Linked DNA regions of Daphnia pulex. The protein of the gene in region 1 binds, or shares a complex with, the protein of each later gene. Links are inferred from orthologs where the notes say so. Each region holds a gene or a part of one and is shown in the gene's direction. Other genes may lie near its edges.

Region 1 (4,014 bases):
TCGTCGGTAAGGGGTGTCAAGTACGGTAAATTGTGAAGGTTGGAATTATCCCAATTTTGTTGACAAAAACGTCGATCTTTGCTTGAATGTCTTACAGTGTTCTCGCGATGTATGACGGGAGTTAGAAAACTCAAATTTGGTGTTGAAGAGTAAGGATTTGGGTTGAGATAAGGTGGAGAAGGACATTCAACATTTGAGTTGCTGAGAAATGAACTACATCCTGACGGTGAACTTTCTTGTAGTAAAAGAACCTCACCAGGGTTTGAATCCTCATAAAGTTCATTAACCTTGTGACTTAATGGAACTTTTGTTTGTTCCTCTTCAGATGTGCTTGTTATGTGATGCTCAGCTGTACTTTCCTGGTCTAATGAAACAGGACTATATTTTGTACTTATTGATATGTCATCATTGCCAGATCCTTCAGTATCTATATAGAGTAACACAATTATTTGAAATTTTTTAATCGAGTAATGTATTGATGTAGACCTGATGAAGATCCACAAGGAATGTTGTGAAATGGAGTTCCAATCCCAAAATGACGTATTGAGATATCATCATTTGAAACTGCCTCTACCTGCAAAATACATATTTAATAAATACTCCCATCTTTAGTGTCATTAAATTGGCTGTTACTTTAGGAGGAATCATTGTAAACTTCTGTCCATTGATTGGGGAAATCTGACCGGTTTGTTCAAGATCGTCATGCTTCACGAGGTCAACGAGAATTATGCGACTCTGTTGTTGAAAGGCAGTTTTACGAATCTCAGTATTTAGCCGGAAACGGTGTTTGGATCCACCACTCCAGTTCATTTCTTTTTACTTCAATGTGACAATTAGAAAGCGAATACACAATTATTCATGTAATTTTCAATGGCTTTTGGCTTTCAAAAGCGTCCTTCATGACCAAGAATTTTCATGGAAATTCGGTCTGTTTTGGCGCCGCAGCCGGCGCTATTGAAGAGACATCTGTTAAGAGAGGCGTAACCTCCTTAGTAACCAGAGTACCAGACAGACTTTTTCCGTAAATTTTGTTTTTGGTGACATTTAAGGGGAATGGTGGGCCAGAGAGTAAACATACTAAAAAAAACAGACACATGAATTATATATAAGTTTATAATAAGGAAAAAAATTGGGGTGTATACGATTACGAATTCTGTGGGCCTGTGGCGTGCCTGTGGCATGAGAATGATGAGATAGCTTCCATTTTATGTCGAATAGAAAATGGCAACCTTGTGTAGTTGTGTTGGATTCATTTTTTCGTCGTAAAAAATAAACCAAAATCCGTCTGCACTCACACAACAAGAGAAACAATTTGAATTCGTGTCGTAATAATATGAATATATTGTCACTTCCAGTCGGGTGAATGTGTAGCTCATCAAGAGTTCGTTTTGTTTTGTGGTTTTTCAGATTTATCTAAATTTTTGGATAAGAAATCTGATAAATCGTTGAATAGATGACCATGTCGGGGGAGCTCTCGGTTTTCCAGCGTGCTCCATCACGTTCACCTTCTCCCGATGAACAGGGCCAAGATGAAGAAGATGAAGATTGGGCGATTGGATTAGCATTTTCTTCAGAAAGGCACACAGATAAAATTGAAGGATTAGAGGATTGTGCTCAAAACTGGAGATTAAAGGATCGGGTAACCCATGCATTTATTAAGTTACCTTTCCCGTCCAAAATCAAAATTTAAATAGCATTTTGTAATTTTTTCTCCACACAATTGTGCATGTACGGCTTAATAAAATAGGATTTCTTTTATTTTTTTTAAATTCAAGATGAAAACAGTAAGTGTGGCATTGATATTATGCCTTAATGTTGGAGTAGATCCTCCAGATGTAGTTAAAACTCAGCCCTGTGCAAGGCTAGAATGCTGGATAGGTATGTGATTTGTAAAGGGTTGTGTGTGTAGTGTTGTTGCTTTTTTAATGCAATTTTCCTCAATGTGTAGATCCTTTGTCTATGAGTCCACAAAAAGCATTAGAAGCAATTGGCATCAACCTTCAGAAGCAATATGAGAGGTGGCAGCCCCGTGCTCGCTACAAGCAAACTCTAGATCCTACCGCTGATGAGGTACAACCGAAAAATTCTTGTTTGTTTAGAAAAGAATAATTGTGATTAATGTTGTAATTCATAAATGTCAGATTAAAAAAGTAACATCTACTCTCCGAAGAAATGCTAAAGACGAAAGAGTGCTGTTTCACTACAATGGGCATGGCGTTCCGAAACCAACTGCCAATGGAGAGATTTGGGTCTTCAATCGCAGTTATACGCAATATATACCGCTCTCGATTTACGACCTACAAACTTGGATGTGGTCTCCGTCAATTTACGTATTTGACTGTTCAAACGCTGGCATGATTGTGGACGCGTTTCAACAGTTCGCGGATCAGCATCAGAGGGAGTACGAACAACTGATGGCTCAATCAAGAAACACATTGCCTTCTCAGATGACACCACCTCCGAATTTCAAACAGTGCATTCAGTTGGCTGCATGCGCAACTAATCAGATTCTTCCTATGAATTCCGAACTGCCAGCTGATATATTTACTGCATGTCTCACAACTCCTATTAAGGTAACTAGAATATGTTTTAAGATAAATTGGAAATTTAATGTACTATTCCATTTTTTCCCCTATATCAAAAGATTGCACTTCGATGGTTTGTTTTACAAAATACTTCCCGTTTGGTGCCCCGAATGACACTTGAATCAGTCGACAAAATCCCCGGGCAGCTTAACGATCGCAGAACTATGCTGGGTGAATTAAATTGGATTTTTACCGCTATAACTGATACGATTGCTTGGAATTCACTTCCACGGGACGTGTTCCAGCGCCTTTTCAGACAAGATCTTCTTGTGGCTAGTCTTTTCCGGAATTTCCTTTTAGCAGAAAGGATACTTAAGTCGTATGACTGCACGCCAGTCTCTTGGCCAAAGTTGCCTCCTACGTCTCAGGTTATTAGGATTTAAAGTTACCTTTTCACATTATTTAAATGTCTTATAATTTCGGCATTCTTTGATTTTAGCACCCAATGTGGTCTGCTTGGGATTTAGCTCTTGACATTTGCCTCTCACAGCTACCAGGCATTTTAGAAGGCAAGGAAACCTTCCAGAATTCCCCTTTTTTTGAGGAACAGTTGACGGCTTTCCAAGTTTGGCTTTCGCATGGGTCACAAAAGAGATCTCCTCCAGAACAACTACCTATTGTTCTGCAAGTTCTTTTAAGTCAAGTTCATCGTTTAAGAGCACTTGAACTCTTGGGGCGATTTTTAGATTTAGGCCCTTGGGCTGTCAATTTGGCGCTGTCGGTCGGCATTTTTCCATATGTTTTAAAGGTTTGCTTTTCTATTTTAATATGTTCTACTCGATAACTGAAATCTTCGTTTTAGTTACTTCAAAGTTCTGCGCGGGAACTGCGCCCATTACTTCTATTTATCTGGACGAAAATTCTTGCTGTTGATGTTACCTGTCAAGCGGATTTAGTCCGTGATGGAGGACACAAATATTTCCTCTCTGTTCTTCAAGATAATTCCGTGCCGGATGATCAGCGCACGCTGGCCGCCTTTGTGATTTCTAGAGTGGTCTGGAATCATCCTATCGGGCAGGATGCTGTTTCTCAAGTAGCTTTTATCTCGAATGCCCTGGAAATGGTCTATGAAAAGGATAAATTACTTAGACAATGGATCGTCATTGGAATTGGCTTAGCTTGGCACAATGCTATAGCTGCTCGTTGGTCGGCAATTCGAGACTCCGCTCATGAGAAACTATTTCCGTTGTTGCGAGATTCTGTTCCTGAGGTATTTACAACATTGTTGATTATATGACATTAAATCTGTCGAATTTCAGTCTTATTTGTTTATGTATGTTAAGGTTCGAGCGGCCACTGCTTATGCCCTAGGAACGTTTATCCATAGTGGAGGAAAGACGGAACGAAATGAACTTGCCAACAAAATTGATCACGCAGTGGCCTTACAACTGGTGAATGTTGTGAACTCGGAAGCTAGTCCTTTGGTTCG
Region 2 (4,214 bases), on another chromosome or scaffold:
CAATTGCACTTGATGTGGAGCTTTTCAACTATTTTGGAGTCGAACAGTTAATGGAACTGGCAGGATTAAGGTGTAAAGCTTGATAAGCCTTAAAATAATAATTTCTGTAGATTGTATTTAGTTGTTTATTTTCTTTCATCAGTTGTGCATCAGCAATTGCAGAAGGATTTCCAGAATCCAAAAATGTATTGATTGTTGTAGGTCCAGGGAATAATGGAGGAGATGGACTTGTTTGTGCAAGACATTTGAAAATGTTTGGGTATTATAATCTGAGGTACTTGCAGCAGCAGTTTTTTTTACATGTCTCTTATTTCTTTTATAGCTACTGTCCTGAAATCTTCTATCCCAAGCGTACAGCCAAGACTCTCTATGAAAATCTTACAAAGCAGTGTGAACTGTTTGAAATCCCATTTTTAACAGCATGCCCAACTACTGAAGACTTGAATTCAAAATACTCACTTGTTGTCGATGCACTATTTGGCTTTAGCTTCAAAGCTCCTGTCCGAAAGGAATTCACTGAGATTATTGACAATATGCTACACATGTCTACACCCTGCTGCAGTATTGATATTCCCAGTGGTACAGGAATTCATTTGTTCTTATTGTGCTAGCATTTTTCATACATACAAGTGTGCTATTAAATATTGTCTGGTACTTGCAGGCTGGGATGTTGAAAATGGGCCACTTGATCAAGATAATTCCTTAAAGCCAGCCATGCTTATTTCTTTGTCTGCGCCGAAATTGTACAGTATTTACTTCACGTTCATATTATCTCTGGTTCAAAAATAATTAAAGTCGATTATGGCAGGTGCGCAAGATTTTTCCACGGGATCCATTTTTTAGGGGGTCGTTTTATTGCACCTGCATTGGCTACGAAATACAAACTAAAATTACCAAATTATCCTTCAACGCATAATTGCGTAAGATTATAATATGTTTATCAGCAGGGCCCAGCAGAGCCGTAATAAATACACGATTTCAAAAGCAATGTCTTCATATTAATTATTTTATACTAATTAGTATTAAATTATTTTTAATAAAATCTTGTTTGAAAAGATTTTTGGTAAAAAGTTGTCAGCTGTCTGATGGCATAATCTTTGCTACGCGTTTCACAGAAGAATATATTACCGTCAGCAACCTGATTATTCACTAGCTAATACCGGTTCTTCAGGTGTAAAGGTGTAAAAGTAATAATAATTGAACTATCCATCAATGCGCAAGTATCTTACAAGCTTTTTTTAATATTTACAAAAAAAAAATACTTTAAAATCATATTCATGGATCGCGTTTTCAGAAGAAAAATATATATGTTAATTTTTTGTGAAAGAAATTTTTCTCTAATAATGGACTTTTATAAAAAAATTATCAATTAAAAAGTTTATGTTGTGAATGGAACTTTCAAATACGCTATATTCATTCTCTTGTGATACATAACATAGCCCTTATTAGTAATCTAGATTGCTTCATAGAACGGGAGAACACGTTTCGCATTCAAAAAAGTTCAATCGCGCGCGTTTATTCTCTCAGTTGTTTGTCAACCTTCGAAAATGGAGGTGCCTCGACGATTGGGGCGAACTGTCAAACGTAAATTTTTATTTATTTTTTTTGTTTTACTATAGGAAATTAATTTTCCTACAGTATTTCTGTTTTGTGTGCAAGCTTTCTACATTGTTTGATATTTAATCTTGAATCCTGTTTCTTCATCTAGTAAATGCTACTTCAGATGTGCTAGTTTCTTCAGCAATTGTGAATGGTAACCCTCAAACTGGTAAACTACAAATTTATAGACAAATACTTTATTATGTTTTATTGGTGACTGACTTCCTTGTACTATAAATGTCAAGACCTGACTCCCAGCATTAAGGATGCTTTGCTGCAAATGTGCTGCAAAGATGTTGTTACCCTTGGCAAACCTCAACACATAGGATCGGTTTTAAATGTAATCTCAAAGCATATTGAGAAGAAAGGCTGTGACAGCATTGGACTGGACATTTTGGATTTTTTTATATGGTCTCAAAAGAAGAGTTATATACTTTGTTGTGTATCAGTATTGAAAGATCCTTTTTTTTCCAGTCTACGAATTGCTTTGATCAACGACAGCAAAGCCGTAAGAGCTGCTGGTCTAAGGATAATTAGACTGTGCTTAAAAAATGAAGAATATGCACAAAAATTGGTTCAAGCAGATCTTCATTACTTCATTGCAAAGTATTATAAAGAATGAAATATAGAGGAACAAGCATATTAAGCTATATCTTTTGGTTCTCTAATAGGTGTCTGGATGTGCTCGTGGATAACATGGCAGAACGTGCTCAAGCCTTGAGATTATGTAGGAGATTGATGCTGGTTGATCCACCATCATTCCCTGTTGCTCTGGCGCGTTCAATTGTAGCTCTTGCTTTTGATGGCACCAAAGAAAAGGACCGTTTAGTACGAGCATCTTTGGCTATTCTAGCTGAACTTTGTAAGGTTTATTTCTATTAAAAGCCAAATCAAGACATCAATCCATTGAATTCAATCCATTTATAGGTATCGTAAACCCATCCGTGTTCGTTGCCAGCGGAGGTGTTCGATGTTTCTCATCTGCTGTTTTAGATTGCTCCTCTGCTCGTATGCAAGAAGCTATGATGGCATCCCTACTCTACCTATTCGACACAGAGCCGCGACGTGAGCTTTCGAAATTAAACCTGCGATTTCTGATTGCTCCCTATAGTGATTTCCACTATAGACACTACATAGATGCAGGAGAAGGAAACAATTCATCTACTACGACAGATGATCGTGAGCTTCGTCTACTCTGCGCTAAGCAAGCACTGCTTACAGTTCTTAGGTCTTGGAATGGAGTATTACATGTTATGAGCTGCAAAATTCTTGAAGACCTAGTCAAAGTCTTGCTCCCATGTCACTTGGAAACCAGGGCAAGTTCTTTCATCTTGATTGGATAGCTTGGTGGTTTATAATTAAATGACAATTACATTTTCATATAGAAATCAATGTTGGAATTCTTCTATACACTTCTGCGGTTACCACTGCCGGAATGGACGGACGAATTTTCCGTAGCGCTTCTAGCTACTGATCCGTCCCGTGTACAGGACGCCTGGAAGCTGCAGGAAGGCTATGTAGCTGCAGAAGGCAAATGTCTACTACCGCACATTTCCAAATTCAGACCAAATCTTGTATTAAACCATATGGCCTTGTTGGTTTACTGCTTGGTTGAAGCCAGATTAGTCCAGACACTTGTGGAAGTAATTACGACAAGTGACACTTTTATATCGGTCCGAGCAACAATTTTGCTGGGTACACTCTCGCATAATATAATAAATATTAACTATTATTATTAAATTATGAATCTGTTCCTTTTTAGGAGAGTTATTGCATTTAAGTAGTACTTTGCTGCCACCCTCCTGTCACGGGACAAAAATGTGTCTGCCTCAATTAGTTGACTGCATTACGTCACTTAAAAGCGACCCAGTGAAACGCCACCGAGCCGCCCAAGCAGCAGCAGCCCTCTCCAAAATTCACCAACTTAAGAAAAAAGGAATCGTTCCCTACAGTTTAGCTCTTAAACAAATCGTTGAATTAGAAAGAAGAGCATCGTGCAACAAACACTCCTCCGTGAGATACAAGAAAACTGAGGAGAATGCAACCAACATCCATCGAGACGAGACGGAGTTTCAGACCAATGGAGAAATGGAATCAGAGGTATGAATTTGTGTTCGCCCATTATAAAATAAATCAGATTTTAAAAATTTGGAATTTGTAGATGAGATCCAGCAGAGATTCTGATAGCGTTCTTTCAGCACTTTCTCGAGACTGTGGAGTCCTGGCGCAAAAAGATTCATTGATTTGGAACTGGTCCGTTTTATCCAATCTTTTCTTGGTAAAGATTATCTCATAGAAATCCATCTTTTCTTAAATAATCGAATTTTGTATAAACTTGTTATTGATTTATTATTAGTGGAGTAAGATGAATTCTTGCGCGTTGGAAGATTCGAATTTGAGATCGATTTTCCGTCGGGTAATGCAATTCTACAAGCCCACTAGCAATCAGTTTTGTCAATGCGAATTTAATAATAGCCGTATGCGTCTGTATTCGACCGTTGGTTGTTATCTGATGGATTCTCTTACAGTTATTGAAGAGGTAATCTTTTTCTTCTATTTGAATTTATGGTTTGTTATTAAATTTTTTGGTCGATTTTTATTTTTACAGTTGGAAT
Region 3 (4,027 bases), on another chromosome or scaffold:
TCCTACAAACTAGTTATAATTATTATTTTTTACTTGTTTGAGCAAATTTCTCAAGAGCAATTAATGAAAACAGTACTACTGGTGGGTGGTTTGATGGATCCTAAAAGATATACATTGTTGAAAATAAAGTGAGACCAAAGATTGATTGTCAGACATACCAGGTTGGCTATAAGGTAATCCAATGTGCTGTCAGTTAGCAAAGCAACACTTGTAGGCCCAGCCAATTTTTCAGCAATGCAGCCCAATGCAATACAAATATTCCTGTGACGATTAGGATCTGATCTTCCCCTTTTACTAGCTTTAGCTGACAGCCAAAACATCCGGGGGACTTTAGTAATGGAATCCTGAAAAAAAAATGGTGAAAATTTAACCTAGCAACAATGTCTAACATATGATTAAAATCTTACCTTTGCTGGTAAGGCACAGTCATCTAGCACCAGAGTGATGACAGCAGGTCCAAGGGGTTCATTAATGGGTATTACATTAACCATGGAATGTAGAACAAGCAACCAACCATGCCCTTTGTTAGAAAGAGCTTGTAATCTTAACATTGAAGGAGGTGTTTCTTGATCACTAAACAAAGAAGGAATAATTAAAGTGGATACATAGGAACATATAATAAAAACATACTTTTCAACTAAATTTCCTATGACAGCTAATGTCTGCAAAACAAGACTGTCAATATGGGGTAGCATTCGCCTCAAGTGTGAGGCCTCAGATGCTGGTATAACATGAGATGGGAAACTTCTGTCTCTATCAACTGAAATATTAGATTGCAGTGGACTTGGGAGGCTGGCAGTTTCTGGTTGAGGCACTGAGAGAGAGGGTAGTTCCCCATCCTTTTCGTCACAACATAAGCATTGTCCCATTTTTAACTGCTTCAGTGGAAATTAAATTTGAACATGTTATTTGAGAGAGATCGTCACTATTCAAACGTGCAATTTGATCTCCATCTTAGTTAAGTTTATAAGTGGGTGTATATGGATTGACCAGGAATGGATTTGACGTTGTTCAACAATTAATTTCAGTAGCACTATTTAACCATGTTATAAATATGGATGGTAATCTAGTATTGAGAAATTCGATGAAAAAGGTATCGTCTGCTGCTTATAACGCGAACATAGATATCCGCTAGGGGCGCTTATAGGAGAGCCATCCTTTCACCGGACATCTAATAGTATCTAATGCCTAATGAGGAGTAACACAATTTGGAGTTTTCTTTTTCTTCCGTCAGATGTCGAAGTCCACAAGTTTGTTTATTAAAATAAGTCATACTGATACTGTAAAGTCTAATTAGTAATTACACGTTGTGGAATTCGCGTATTGCATATTCTTTTTAAAATAAGGCTTATCTTTTTTTGTCGAAGACAAAGAGTTATTTGATTGAATGGAAAAATAACATATAGTGTCCAATTTCAATTTTCGCTAGCGGGGTACGAGGTGATTGGCGACAGTTGACTTTGAATGTTTTCGAACTACTCCTTTGAGTTGTTGCTGATTATGCATTGAATTTATATCAACTGCTTCCTTTATTTTATCCTTTTTATTTATTTCAGTTACAGAATGGCAACCGGAATGATGCAAACATTCATCACTGGGCTTAGATCCAGAAGTGAAGATTTGAGACTAAAGGCTGCCCGAGATTTACACCATTATGTAAGAGAAGGATAAAGAGCTAAATGTTTAAGAAGGAAATAATATAGAATTGTTTTAATGTTGTCTTAATTTGTTTAGGTGACATCTGAGTTAAGAGAGGCATTGCAGGAAGATGTAATTTCATTTGTTGATGATTTGAATCACCATATATTTGACATGGTGTCCAGCTCAGATGTCAATGAAAAGAAAGGTGGCATTCTAGCCATAGTTAGTTTATTGCAAGTAGATGTTGGAAATACCAATGCCAGAATGACTAGATTTGCCAACTATTTGAAAAACTTACTTCCATCTCAGGATGTAGTTGTAATGGAGTTAACTGCAAGGGCACTTGGAAAATTGACACTGGCAAGTTAAACAAAAATCTAAATAGCCTCTACACATAATTAAAACAGATGATAAATATAGATATGCAATTTTTAATAAAACAGGTATCAGGAAGCTACACCGCGGAGTATGTGGAATTTGAAGTAAAACGAGCCTTTGAGTGGCTCAGTGGCGAGAGAAATGAAGGTCGTAGGCATGCAGCGGTAAGTTAAAAATAACATCATTAACGATATGTTGATACCATAAGTTTTAACTCAATTTCTCACAGGTGCTGGTTTTGCGAGAATTGGCTTTATCCATGCCAACTTTCTTTTTCCAGCAAGTCCAGACTTTTTTTGACGTTATTTTTTATGCTGTTCGGGACTCCAAACCAATGATTCGAGAAGGCGCAGTTGCTGCTTTACGCTCTGCTTTAGTCGTCACATCTCAGCGAGAAACTAAAGAAGCTCAAAAGCCTACTTGGTAATAAACAAGCTTGTACAAGTTTAACACATAAAGATATAGTATTAACCATTAATTAGGTATAAACAATGCTTTGACGAGGCCCAACAAGGTTTTGAGGAACCGTTAGCCAAAGATAAAGGACTAACAAAGGACGACAGAGCTCATGGATCTCTTTTGGTTCTTCAAGAGCTTCTACGTTGTTCGAATGCAGAGGGTGAACGACTTCTCGCTGAACTAGAGCAATTAAATTTACTACATTCACAGACTGTTCAGGTTGAATATGCCGATCTTTGTATGACCTGAGCAAATGCGATAATTCTCAATGATTTTTTACCAAAGGATTCTCTAATTTCTACAACTTCCCGAGTGTTGCCGAACGGTGCTGTTGAATTAATCAACACTCCTACACTTTACAATAATCTCCGGCTTTTGCCAGGGCATGTCGCTCAATCAAGGATAGCCAGCGCCGTGTCACCACTATCGATAGTTGCGCCCCAGCAGGTGATTTATAAAATTGATCGCAATACTTCCACTTACCTGAACGAATTTTCTATACAAACAGTACCCTATAGTTGAAAGCGCTGCATGCCGCCAATTGACTGCTGATCATTTTGATGAAATTTGTGCCAACACTCTTCGACATAGCATCTCAAAAAGCAGCCATGTACAAGCAGCTTTGATGGGAATTCTGCCTAGACTGGCTGCCTATGATCGAACCCGATTTTCTGATAGGTATTAAATTTTTGGAAAATTTCTTAAAATGACAAATGACCATACATACTTAATTTCCCCAGGTATTTGGGCCCTTCGATGAGCTACTTGATGGCGTGTTTGACCCGCAAAGAAAAAAATCCTCACCTTGCAATGATAACTATAGGTTATATAGCAGTGTGTATTGAAGGGGATATTGCCACACATCTCCCTGGCATTATTAGTTTTGTTCGGACTTCTCTACCTCAAAATAAAGTAGAGAAACTAAAGAGTGTAAAGAAGAAAAATTCTTTAATTTTCGAAACTTCTCCAAACTAGGACCCATCTTCTACCAAAAAACGCTCCAGTCCCCCTGATATTGCTGTTTTCGTCTGTCTAAGTCTGCTTGGCCGAGCCGTTGGTCGTTCTCATCTAACTAGTGAGTTCAAGGATCTACTGGATCCCATGCTGTCCGTTGGACTTAGTCCTGCCCTGACAACTTGTCTTCGTGAACTGGCCTTGAGAATTCCTCATCTTAAAAAAGACATTGCCGAAGGACTCTTGCGGATGCTTTCACTAGTTTTGATGCACCAACCACTTCGTCATCCAGGCATGGTTTTATTTTAAACAACGAATTTGGAAAAGTACATTCTACTTGAATTAATTTATCCATTCTATTTTAGGAATGCCAAAACATCATATGGCGCTCACTCCAGTGGCACTTCAACCACTACCATCGAATGGGGATGACGTCAATAGCATCGTTTTAGCTCTAAGAACGTTGGGGAGTTTTGATTTTCAAGGTTAAAAAACCAATTTATTTAAAATTCAATGAACGAGAGACGCAGATTTTTCAACATAATTTTGTTTGTGTCGCTAGGTCAACCACTACTTTTACAATTTGTTCGCCATT
Region 4 (3,463 bases), on another chromosome or scaffold:
TTGTATTTGTCAATAATTGAAATAGGGTTCTGCCTTCCGCATTGCCCGATTACCGTAATGGAATGGCCATCCGCCCCTACCAGTCCAATCCGCAGTTCATTTCCCCATTCAGTATTCAGTCGTCGCTCGATAAACCGTCAGATCAGCCAGTTTACAGGGTAGCAGATCCGCTTTTCGGCGCTTTTTACGCCTTTTCTTCTCTTCTCTCCAACATTTTCAGTGGCATTTTCCGACCGCAACCGACTCCGGCCGTCCTCGTCACCAGGTACACGATATTCCTTAAGAAATTCATAATTCAAAATATCACCGTCAATCATAAAATGACATTGAACGATTATAGTACATCGACAGTGTACACAACGACGACAACCGCAACTTCCACAACTTCGACAGCTACTTACACTTTGAAAGGCGCAAATTGTCTTCCAGCCGGAGTTGTTGTTTGTCCAGGATCTAATACCGCTGCTGCGTCCAGTACTACTGCCGCTTCAACCACCGCCTCCTCCACCACTCCGGCCTCCACCACTACATCGGCGACTACAACCACAGGATCGACGCCAACTTCCACATCAGGTTAGTACTTAGTATGAATCCACATTCGTAATTCTAAGATCACTATACATTTTTTAAAATATTTACCAAAATAAGATTCAACTACTACGGCCAGCAGCACCACCGATTCAAGTACTGTAACCAGCACGACAGATTCAACTACTGTCACAAGCACTTCCGACTCAACTACTGTTACAAGCACCACAGATTCAACTACGACGTCATCGACCACGCCAAGCTCTGGTTAAATTCAGTGTTGATGATTATGAAGATCTCGATGATTTAATTTAACAATAAATAATTAGAAATCATTTTGATGCGGGGCATAACATTATTAAAATGGTAAAAGAAAAAGATAAGTATGTTAAAGTAGTATTTAAAGAACAAAACACATTTTTACCTCTTTCTCGACCAATTTCAATACGACCGTGCCCATCAAATTGAACCATACATAGTGTTCGCTTCTGAAAAAGTTAATAAGAAATAAACTCACAGCATTACCCAATTCGTTTTTGAAGATCTAAGAAATGGAATGGAAGACAAATTTAGCCGAAAAAATTATTAATTTTTGCCGACGTTTTCGCGCAACAGACAGTTGATTTGATGCGGCAACACTGCGCTCATAGCAGAAGCTCAATCAAAATGTCAAACAACCTAAAACTAAATCCCTAAAAAGGCAAAACAATAACATTAGAGCAAGAGTTGGGTGTTTGGTCTCCTTTCTCTATGAAAAAAGAAAAATACAGAATGCTTCAATGTTTTATACACATTATCTAAGTGCTACGCTATCCGAAAGTACGATATACTTACTTCATTGGTGCGCGTACAAATCGAAATCGAATTTGGGTTCTAGGTCAACAGAGTATTATGGCGTTTTATGACAACAAATATTGGATTCTTTCCCATGTAAGAAACTCATTCTTGTACTCAGATGATACTGGTGAGTTACTTTATTCTCTTTGGAACATTTGATTTTCTATAGTGCTGATTGCATTGTTTCTCTCCATTCAGGCATGTGCGAAATGATATTGCAGAACGCTGATATACCAAAGAAGATCAGAGAAGAGGGTAAAAAACAGTGGTTTGGAAATTTAGATGATTCAGAAGAAGAGTTTGATGATGATGGACGAATTCACACAAGATCTCTAGGAAATGGTAATGATGACTTTGGAACTCGGAGGAGAAGGCTTAACACAGTGGTGAGGCTTGAGAAGATGAGGAAAGAACAGCAAGCAGCCGCCATGATCAGTACCATTAGATGGAAAGAGCCAGATTTGACCAATCTAGATCAAGGTGAAAAGACCAAGATATTTCAAAAGAAGGAAGTGGTTGCTCAGAATTCCAAATCTGCCCTTTCTAAACTTATGGCTGAGCACGCCTCGGATCCCGATTCGCCATTCATTGAGTATGCAAAATTTGATGGGAATTCTCAATTGAGAGCACCCACAAGAACAATAAGGATATTTTTAAGCATGCAAAGTGCTGAAGACCGCAACTTTCCTATGACCGTTTGTGTTGTGGCTTCGGCAAAGGTTTCTGAACTTATCGGCCTTGTTTGTTACAAATACAGCCACGAAAAAAGAGAACCTCCTTTAACGTAAATATTAAAATTTTGCCCTTGAAAAATTAGATTAATTAAGTTCAGTATATATTTTACAATTAGTGGATCTGTGGATAATTACGCACTATTCATTGCCGAAGACGACGGAAGTCCAGATGCCGATTTCCCTTGCCTAGAACCTAAAGAAGTTGTTGGGAAGTTTGGATTCACCTCCCTGGCTTTGGTTCGCTCTGCCAATCCCCCAAAGGAGGCGAAGAAAGACGTCGAGACTAATAAAACAGTTGATCAACTCAACACTGAGAAACCAGAAGAGCGTGGGGCTGTTCTGGAATCTACCGACTACCATTCGTTCAAAGGATTTTTGCTACACAAAGTTCGGCCAAACACGGAAATAACTTTGGGTAAATAAATAAAATGTTATAAATTATCCATGTCAAATCCAATAATAACGTTTCGCACAGGAATTTCGTGGGACCAAGTGGAGATCAAGCCTTGCCCAACTAGTCGGTCTGTAACAACTTTACTGTGGTCAAGGCCCAATCTCAAACCAACCCGTTTACCTATTGAAGTGATCGTAGATTGTGTTCCTATGCAAACATTGCCAGCATCAGTTGCTATTATGTATTACGACACAGATAAAAGAAAATGGAGGCGTTTGCGAATTGAGTGTGACTCGAAGACCATCGAACAAGTTGTGGCGAAGTTAAAATTCATATTAGAAATCCGGGGAGGACTTTACCGCCAGGAGTACCTCCATCACATGTCATACGTCAACAAGAAAGCCAGCCTGATTCGTTAAAAGAAATTTTAATAATTCAATTGTTTGTTTAATAAACCTTAAAATGCGAAATGTCAATTTTTACAAAGTATAGCGGATTATGTAGCGGAAGAAAGGATTATTGTAGACGTCGTTATCCAGAAAGGAATGGGAGAAGGTCCTATGTCCATTGAAAAGTTGGAACTATCATGCTCTGAACTTCGTCTAGTTGACGCTCAACCGTTGATAAGGACCGATGTAGTTGTTGGGAATTTTTTTCCAGGTGTACGAGTCCTATGTAGTGGCGTGTTTGATATGAAACAATTTTCTTGTTGACTGCTGCAAAATCTGGTAAGCTCTTTAGAAACTTTACATCTTCAGATTTCAATCGGCCTGTTTCAATTTGCACTCTTCCCTTCAAGACATCTTTAAGCTTACTCTTTGCATCTAAATAGGCTTCTCTTCTCTTTTTGTATTCTTCATTCCACAGCAACTTCTCATTCTTCAGTTGTTTTGTGGCTGATCTTGTTCGTTTCTCAAATTTCTGATGAGCTTTATCTCCAGTAGAAACTAGAACTTTGTTTAGAATGTCT
Region 5 (3,974 bases), on another chromosome or scaffold:
CGTAGACACGCAATTTTGTCGTGTGGGCATTTCAATTGAACGAGGACGAATTTCTTTTTTTCACACACACAAAATATTATATCTATAAATATAATCTTAATGAATAACGTCAATGAGTGGGTTGTCGTCGGATTTGGCGTCCTTGTTCTTCAAGACGGAGCCCAGCGACGTGGCCAATTTGGCGCAATGGCTAACGTGGACGAGCCAAGAATCTCCGTCCTCGTTCACCTGTTGTCGTCATGGCAACCAACCGAAATGAGCATGAAATCCCTTTTTAGAAAAAGTGACGCAAGAACACACTATAAGAAATACCTTTTCGCTGTTGACTCTGTAACGGCTCCAATCCTCGAAGGAATTGCTCCTGAATTCTGCAGGGACGACGATGGGGTGTCCATTGCGCTGGATCCATTGCTGCTGCTGCTGGACGAAAGAAGGATCGGAACGTTTGCGACCGTTGGTCCAGCCTCTGCTGTACCTGCACTCGGGCAATCAGATTGGCGGGGAAATGAATTATTTGTGAACAAAGTGAAATCGAATGGAACTCAACTGAAATGTCTGGGCCATGGCGGACACGACGACTAGGAGCAGGACGAAATACAGACGGACAGCCATGGCAAAAGAAGAGTATCGAACGTACTGATTGATGAACATCGAGTGATGTTGTGGCTTGTTCCACTCCATCGCCGTTGGGCTTTATATATACCGTCCAAATATCCTCAAGATTGTGTTTTTGATTGATATTCAGTCGGCGATCTTGACTCGAAAAGTTTTCGGTGACACAAGTTCAGCCTGACACGAGTTCTTGACATTTCGTCCAGCTCCTTGTGGTTGGTGGCTAATTTTAAACCAACGTCTCTCTACTGTGTACATAGTATATCTAGTGGCTAGTCTCCGCCTGGGACGTTGATTCAATTTTCTGAGGGTTGATAGAAAATCAGCTGTCCATTGATAACTTTGGGATCAGAACTTGAAGGGGAATAAAGTCGTCAAACTTTACTTGATTGGATTGAAAGATTGACGGTATATGCACATATTGTAGTGATTGGCATTTGAATCTCCAATTTCCACCTAAACACGTACGGACTAGTTTTTTAAAAAAGAAAGCGGCGATTCTTTTAGTTAAGACATCTAGCGGCAATATATTGAACTTGGTGGTTTAGCCACCTAGCGAACAATTGCCGAGGGACTATTGCAAGAGAGAAGAACTGTGTGTGTATGTTGCAATGCCCACTTCTTTCTCTCTTTGGCATTGAAAACCTTTTTTTTTTATTTACCAGTGGCCTCCAAGGTGTTCTAAATTTTCGCCTCTCGAATATCGGTAATCTTTCTTTGTGTCGAATCCCGACGACAGAGCAAAGTGCAAGAGAGTGATAAGACCAGTGTTTTTGAGGGAGGATGACTCAGACAGGTTGACGTTTTCTACAAGAGAAAGCGAATCGCCGTCATGATTAGTTGCGTCCGTCTGTTTCTCCTTGTTTCTCTCTGTTTTTGGTCGTGAGAATGAGAGCTGCTGTAGTGCTGTGAGCTGGTGAATTTGTACCAAACCTAGAAATCAACCCCTCGCACAGAAGAGGGAGTTGAGTGTGAGTGTTCCCCACGAGATTGTGTCTGTATTAAAATGAATTCACTCCGAAAGTGGCTCTACAAACCAAAGGTTCTTCAGTCTAGGATTTTGTCCACCAACCAAGACCTGTTTTTAATGTGGCCATTTCTTTTCCATTTCCCAATAGAAACATGATACATCTTTGCTGGCCCAGTTTTACTATGCAGATGAGGAGCTTAATGCAGTGGCCACTGAATTGGATAGTTTCGATGGAAGGAAAGACCCAGAACGGTGTGCATCGCTTGTTTACCAGCTAAGGCAGTGCCAGGACAAGGTACGATAAGTTTTGTAGCCTTGAAAATTGTGATATTGATTTTTCACCTTGGTCATCGTTTTCAGGTGCTGACAATATGCAGTCAGTTGATGGACGAAGTGATGCCCATCGACAGAGCATGCAGGGATTTCAGATCCAAGTTTCCTGATGATGTGTTGCAAGAGAACCTAGCTGGCCAGTTATGGTTCGGTGCTGAGGTTGGCTGTTGATGTTTTAGTCTCCTTAATTCATGCTCATCACATTTTTTCTTTTTGTCTTACAGTGCCTGGCAGCTGGTTCAAGTATTTTAAATAGAGAAACGGAAAGTGCAGTGATGCGTCCTTTGGCGAAAGCGTTGGCCAAATCGCTGGAGACGGTGCGGGAACAACTACGTGAGCAGTGCCTCCGTAACTCGATGGAGTTTCCCGACAAGCTACGCGAAAGCCTATGCTTGTTCGATAGGCTCTTCGCTGAATTTGAGCTGAGTTACGTCAGCGCTATGGTTCCAGTTAAAACAGCGCTCGAGTACAACCACCAGCAGGACATTATTGTCCTGTTCTCTGAGACGTTACAACGTGCCTTGAGTCTGGGACTTTTGTCCCAAGACTTGGTAGACGCCTGTGATCCCGCGCTGATGTTCACTATCCCGCGGCTTGCCATCGTTTGTGGTCTTCTCGTTCTTCCTGACGGACCACTCAATCTTCAAAGGCAGCTGTCTGAACTCTTCCGACCTTTCCGTAATCTACTGTGTAAAATTCGCGATCTGCTGTGGACCCTAACTAGCCAAGAACTGCAGCTCCTCGAAAAGGCTCTTTGTTCCACGGACCCAACTCCGACGTCGGACTCATCTGGCACTTACCCCATGTGCAAGACGGATGAGTACATAACAAAGTTTCATCAGGATTACCCAACCACTCAGAGGTAAATCAATTGCATTTTGTTTTCGTTCTTGTTTCCCATTTCCCCCCTAATAGCCAACATTGTCGTTCATCATTCAGAGTGGCAGGAAAGCTGTCACAAAAGAACAACAGCAGTAGTAACGCGGCTCCCGCGGAAGTGGCCAACGCAGACCAAGGCCGGACTGGTCACACAGTTGAGCGAAGGACCAATGACGAAGGCGATACCAGCTCGTGTTCTAGTACGACGTCGTCAGCATGCGGTACGAATAGCGACAGCTCCTCTGTCACGTCCGCCGCCTCCGAGTGTCAAGATGACGAAGAAATAGCGCTGGCCCTGCAAGCGGCCGAAATCGCTTCACGGAATCAAATTCGGGGCCGATTTAAAAGCAGCGAAGACTTGATCCACAGACTCTTTGTCTGCATTTCTGGCGTGGCGGATCAGCTGCAGACCAACTTCGCATCAGATCTACGCGCCATCCTCAAGGCTGTTTTTCTAATTAACGCCTCCCCGGTCAGAATAACATTACTAGCCCGCTTTTGTTGTTTACAGTTTAATCATAAACTTGTGCATTTTTTCATGCAGACGGAAGAGGAGGAGGAGCCAGTGGAAGAAGCTGAAGAAGGAGAAGAGGAGGTGGACAGCGGCAATTCGGCGTCATTGCTAGATGACGCCTGGTACGTCAACAACAGCTCATTCTTGACATTCCCTGGCCAGCAGTTCCAGCAGGAGACGTCCGAAGAGGAGAGACGAAGCTCGCTACCGAGCAACGTGCCTTTCCGCCTTAGCCAATCGACACCGTCGCCAGACGGGTCACCTGTCGACGACGATGACAGTGGGCTGCTTCAACCGGATCACGCCGAAACGGATTCGCTGGATCAAACGCCACCGTCCAGTCTGAGTCAGACATCGGATGGAACGCCTCCATTGACTATGCATCGGGCCACCACAGTAGCTCCGTACTCGGGCAGCCCCAGCAGCACATTCCCACTTGACGGGCAGCTTTCGACGCCACCGGCCTGGATTCCCGACGAGTCGGCGCCACACTGCATGTCCTGTCAATCGGTTTTCACTGTCGTTCGCCGTCGCCATCATTGCCGAAATTGTGGGAAAGTCTTTTGCGGCAAGTGCAGTGCTAACGCTGTCCCTTTACCTCGCTACGGCCACGTCAAGCCCGTCCGCGTCTGCAATCGATGCTTCATGTTCCACGTGACACATTTC

The links. The genes of interacting proteins can lie anywhere in the genome.
Region 2: regulatory-associated protein of mTOR-like (region 1) and rapamycin-insensitive companion of mTOR-like share a complex: the UniProt entries of both Homo sapiens proteins name them as parts of the mechanistic target of rapamycin complex. The link is inferred for Daphnia pulex from reciprocal best matches to the Homo sapiens genes RPTOR and RICTOR.
Region 3: the proteins of regulatory-associated protein of mTOR-like (region 1) and serine/threonine-protein kinase mTOR-like are in contact, whole or in part, in a cryo-EM structure (PDB 6BCU), measured with the Homo sapiens proteins. The link is inferred for Daphnia pulex from reciprocal best matches to the Homo sapiens genes RPTOR and MTOR. Residues at the interface, in NP_065812.1 of Homo sapiens: Phe278, Lys282, Cys283, Ser285, Leu286, Pro288, Gln380, Ala381, Asp383, Leu384, Asp387, Glu411, Gln412, Thr414, Ala415, Val418, Trp419, Thr421, Met422, Arg427, Asn428, Glu431, Gln432, Lys973, Ile974, Asp979, Leu980, Glu981, Ser982, Lys986; in NP_001373429.1 of Homo sapiens: His597, Thr600, Pro632, Val644, Ser645, Gln646, Thr647, Ala648, Val649, Ala653, His686, Ala688, Gln689, Glu691, Met721, Asn722, Pro723, Ala724, Phe725, Met727, Pro728, Phe729, Arg731, Lys732, Leu734, Ile735, Leu738, Thr739, His743, Tyr771.
Region 4: regulatory-associated protein of mTOR-like (region 1) and target of rapamycin complex 2 subunit MAPKAP1-like share a complex: the UniProt entries of both Homo sapiens proteins name them as parts of the mechanistic target of rapamycin complex. The link is inferred for Daphnia pulex from reciprocal best matches to the Homo sapiens genes RPTOR and MAPKAP1.
Region 5: the proteins of regulatory-associated protein of mTOR-like (region 1) and lateral signaling target protein 2 homolog are in contact, whole or in part, in a cryo-EM structure (PDB 9F43), measured with the Homo sapiens proteins. The link is inferred for Daphnia pulex from reciprocal best matches to the Homo sapiens genes RPTOR and ZFYVE28. Residues at the interface, in NP_065812.1 of Homo sapiens: Arg54, Arg305, Arg306, Thr317, Asp321, Phe337, Arg338, Leu341, Ala344, Arg348, Leu437, Gln438, Leu440, Leu441, Ser442, Gln443, Arg446, Pro474, Tyr475, Lys478, Leu479, Gln481, Ser482, Ser483, Ala484; in NP_066023.2 of Homo sapiens: Arg399, Val400, Phe401, Phe402, Met403, Asp404, Asp405, Val406, Glu407.

Annotation. Positions count from the first base shown.
Region 1 is NC_060017.1:2,265,809-2,269,822, forward strand, and holds the start of regulatory-associated protein of mTOR-like, read left to right. Parts: upstream 1-1,214; 5' UTR 1,215-1,453; coding exon 1,454-1,639; intron 1,640-1,775; coding exon 1,776-1,878; intron 1,879-1,948; coding exon 1,949-2,070; intron 2,071-2,141; coding exon 2,142-2,573; intron 2,574-2,644; coding exon 2,645-2,953; intron 2,954-3,024; coding exon 3,025-3,333; intron 3,334-3,387; coding exon 3,388-3,795; intron 3,796-3,868; coding exon 3,869-4,014. Other genes in the region: uncharacterized protein PB18E9.04c-like, read right to left, coding at 1-427, 487-574, 634-810. UniProt on the Homo sapiens protein: Component of the mechanistic target of rapamycin complex 1 (mTORC1), an evolutionarily conserved central nutrient sensor that stimulates anabolic reactions and macromolecule biosynthesis to promote cellular biomass generation and growth.
Region 2 is NC_060019.1:11,217,447-11,221,660, forward strand, and holds the start of rapamycin-insensitive companion of mTOR-like, read left to right. Parts: upstream 1-1,414; 5' UTR 1,415-1,547; coding exon 1,548-1,584; intron 1,585-1,708; coding exon 1,709-1,768; intron 1,769-1,844; coding exon 1,845-2,010; intron 2,011-2,073; coding exon 2,074-2,205; intron 2,206-2,270; coding exon 2,271-2,461; intron 2,462-2,526; coding exon 2,527-2,915; intron 2,916-2,984; coding exon 2,985-3,294; intron 3,295-3,361; coding exon 3,362-3,699; intron 3,700-3,760; coding exon 3,761-3,877; intron 3,878-3,955; coding exon 3,956-4,138; intron 4,139-4,207; coding exon 4,208-4,214. Other genes in the region: NAD(P)H-hydrate epimerase, read left to right, coding at 1-70, 143-259, 323-579, 662-743, 809-932. UniProt on the Homo sapiens protein: Component of the mechanistic target of rapamycin complex 2 (mTORC2), which transduces signals from growth factors to pathways involved in proliferation, cytoskeletal organization, lipogenesis and anabolic output.
Region 3 is NC_060027.1:5,106,129-5,110,155, forward strand, and holds the start of serine/threonine-protein kinase mTOR-like, read left to right. Parts: upstream 1-1,227; 5' UTR 1,228-1,440; intron 1,441-1,556; 5' UTR 1,557-1,563; coding exon 1,564-1,656; intron 1,657-1,734; coding exon 1,735-2,001; intron 2,002-2,084; coding exon 2,085-2,183; intron 2,184-2,248; coding exon 2,249-2,442; intron 2,443-2,501; coding exon 2,502-2,697; intron 2,698-2,763; coding exon 2,764-2,925; intron 2,926-2,986; coding exon 2,987-3,156; intron 3,157-3,218; coding exon 3,219-3,390; intron 3,391-3,453; coding exon 3,454-3,724; intron 3,725-3,797; coding exon 3,798-3,917; intron 3,918-3,994; coding exon 3,995-4,027. Other genes in the region: RING finger and SPRY domain-containing protein 1-like, read right to left, coding at 34-100, 159-344, 408-573, 631-869. UniProt on the Homo sapiens protein: Serine/threonine protein kinase which is a central regulator of cellular metabolism, growth and survival in response to hormones, growth factors, nutrients, energy and stress signals.
Region 4 is NC_060023.1:2,534,797-2,538,259, reverse strand, and holds target of rapamycin complex 2 subunit MAPKAP1-like, read left to right. Parts: upstream 1-1,183; 5' UTR 1,184-1,307; coding exon 1,308-1,347; intron 1,348-1,405; coding exon 1,406-1,492; intron 1,493-1,563; coding exon 1,564-2,149; intron 2,150-2,215; coding exon 2,216-2,514; intron 2,515-2,574; coding exon 2,575-2,912; 3' UTR 2,913-2,963; downstream 2,964-3,463. Other genes in the region: uncharacterized protein LOC124198557, read right to left, coding at 3,052-3,463. UniProt on the Homo sapiens protein: Component of the mechanistic target of rapamycin complex 2 (mTORC2), which transduces signals from growth factors to pathways involved in proliferation, cytoskeletal organization, lipogenesis and anabolic output.
Region 5 is NC_060024.1:11,063,000-11,066,973, forward strand, and holds the start of lateral signaling target protein 2 homolog, read left to right. Parts: upstream 1-1,174; 5' UTR 1,175-1,618; coding exon 1,619-1,654; intron 1,655-1,730; coding exon 1,731-1,877; intron 1,878-1,942; coding exon 1,943-2,074; intron 2,075-2,139; coding exon 2,140-2,777; intron 2,778-2,854; coding exon 2,855-3,266; intron 3,267-3,338; coding exon 3,339-3,974. Other genes in the region: uncharacterized protein LOC124199533, read right to left, coding at 97-228, 313-475, 548-651. UniProt on the Homo sapiens protein: Negative regulator of epidermal growth factor receptor (EGFR) signaling. Acts by promoting EGFR degradation in endosomes when not monoubiquitinated.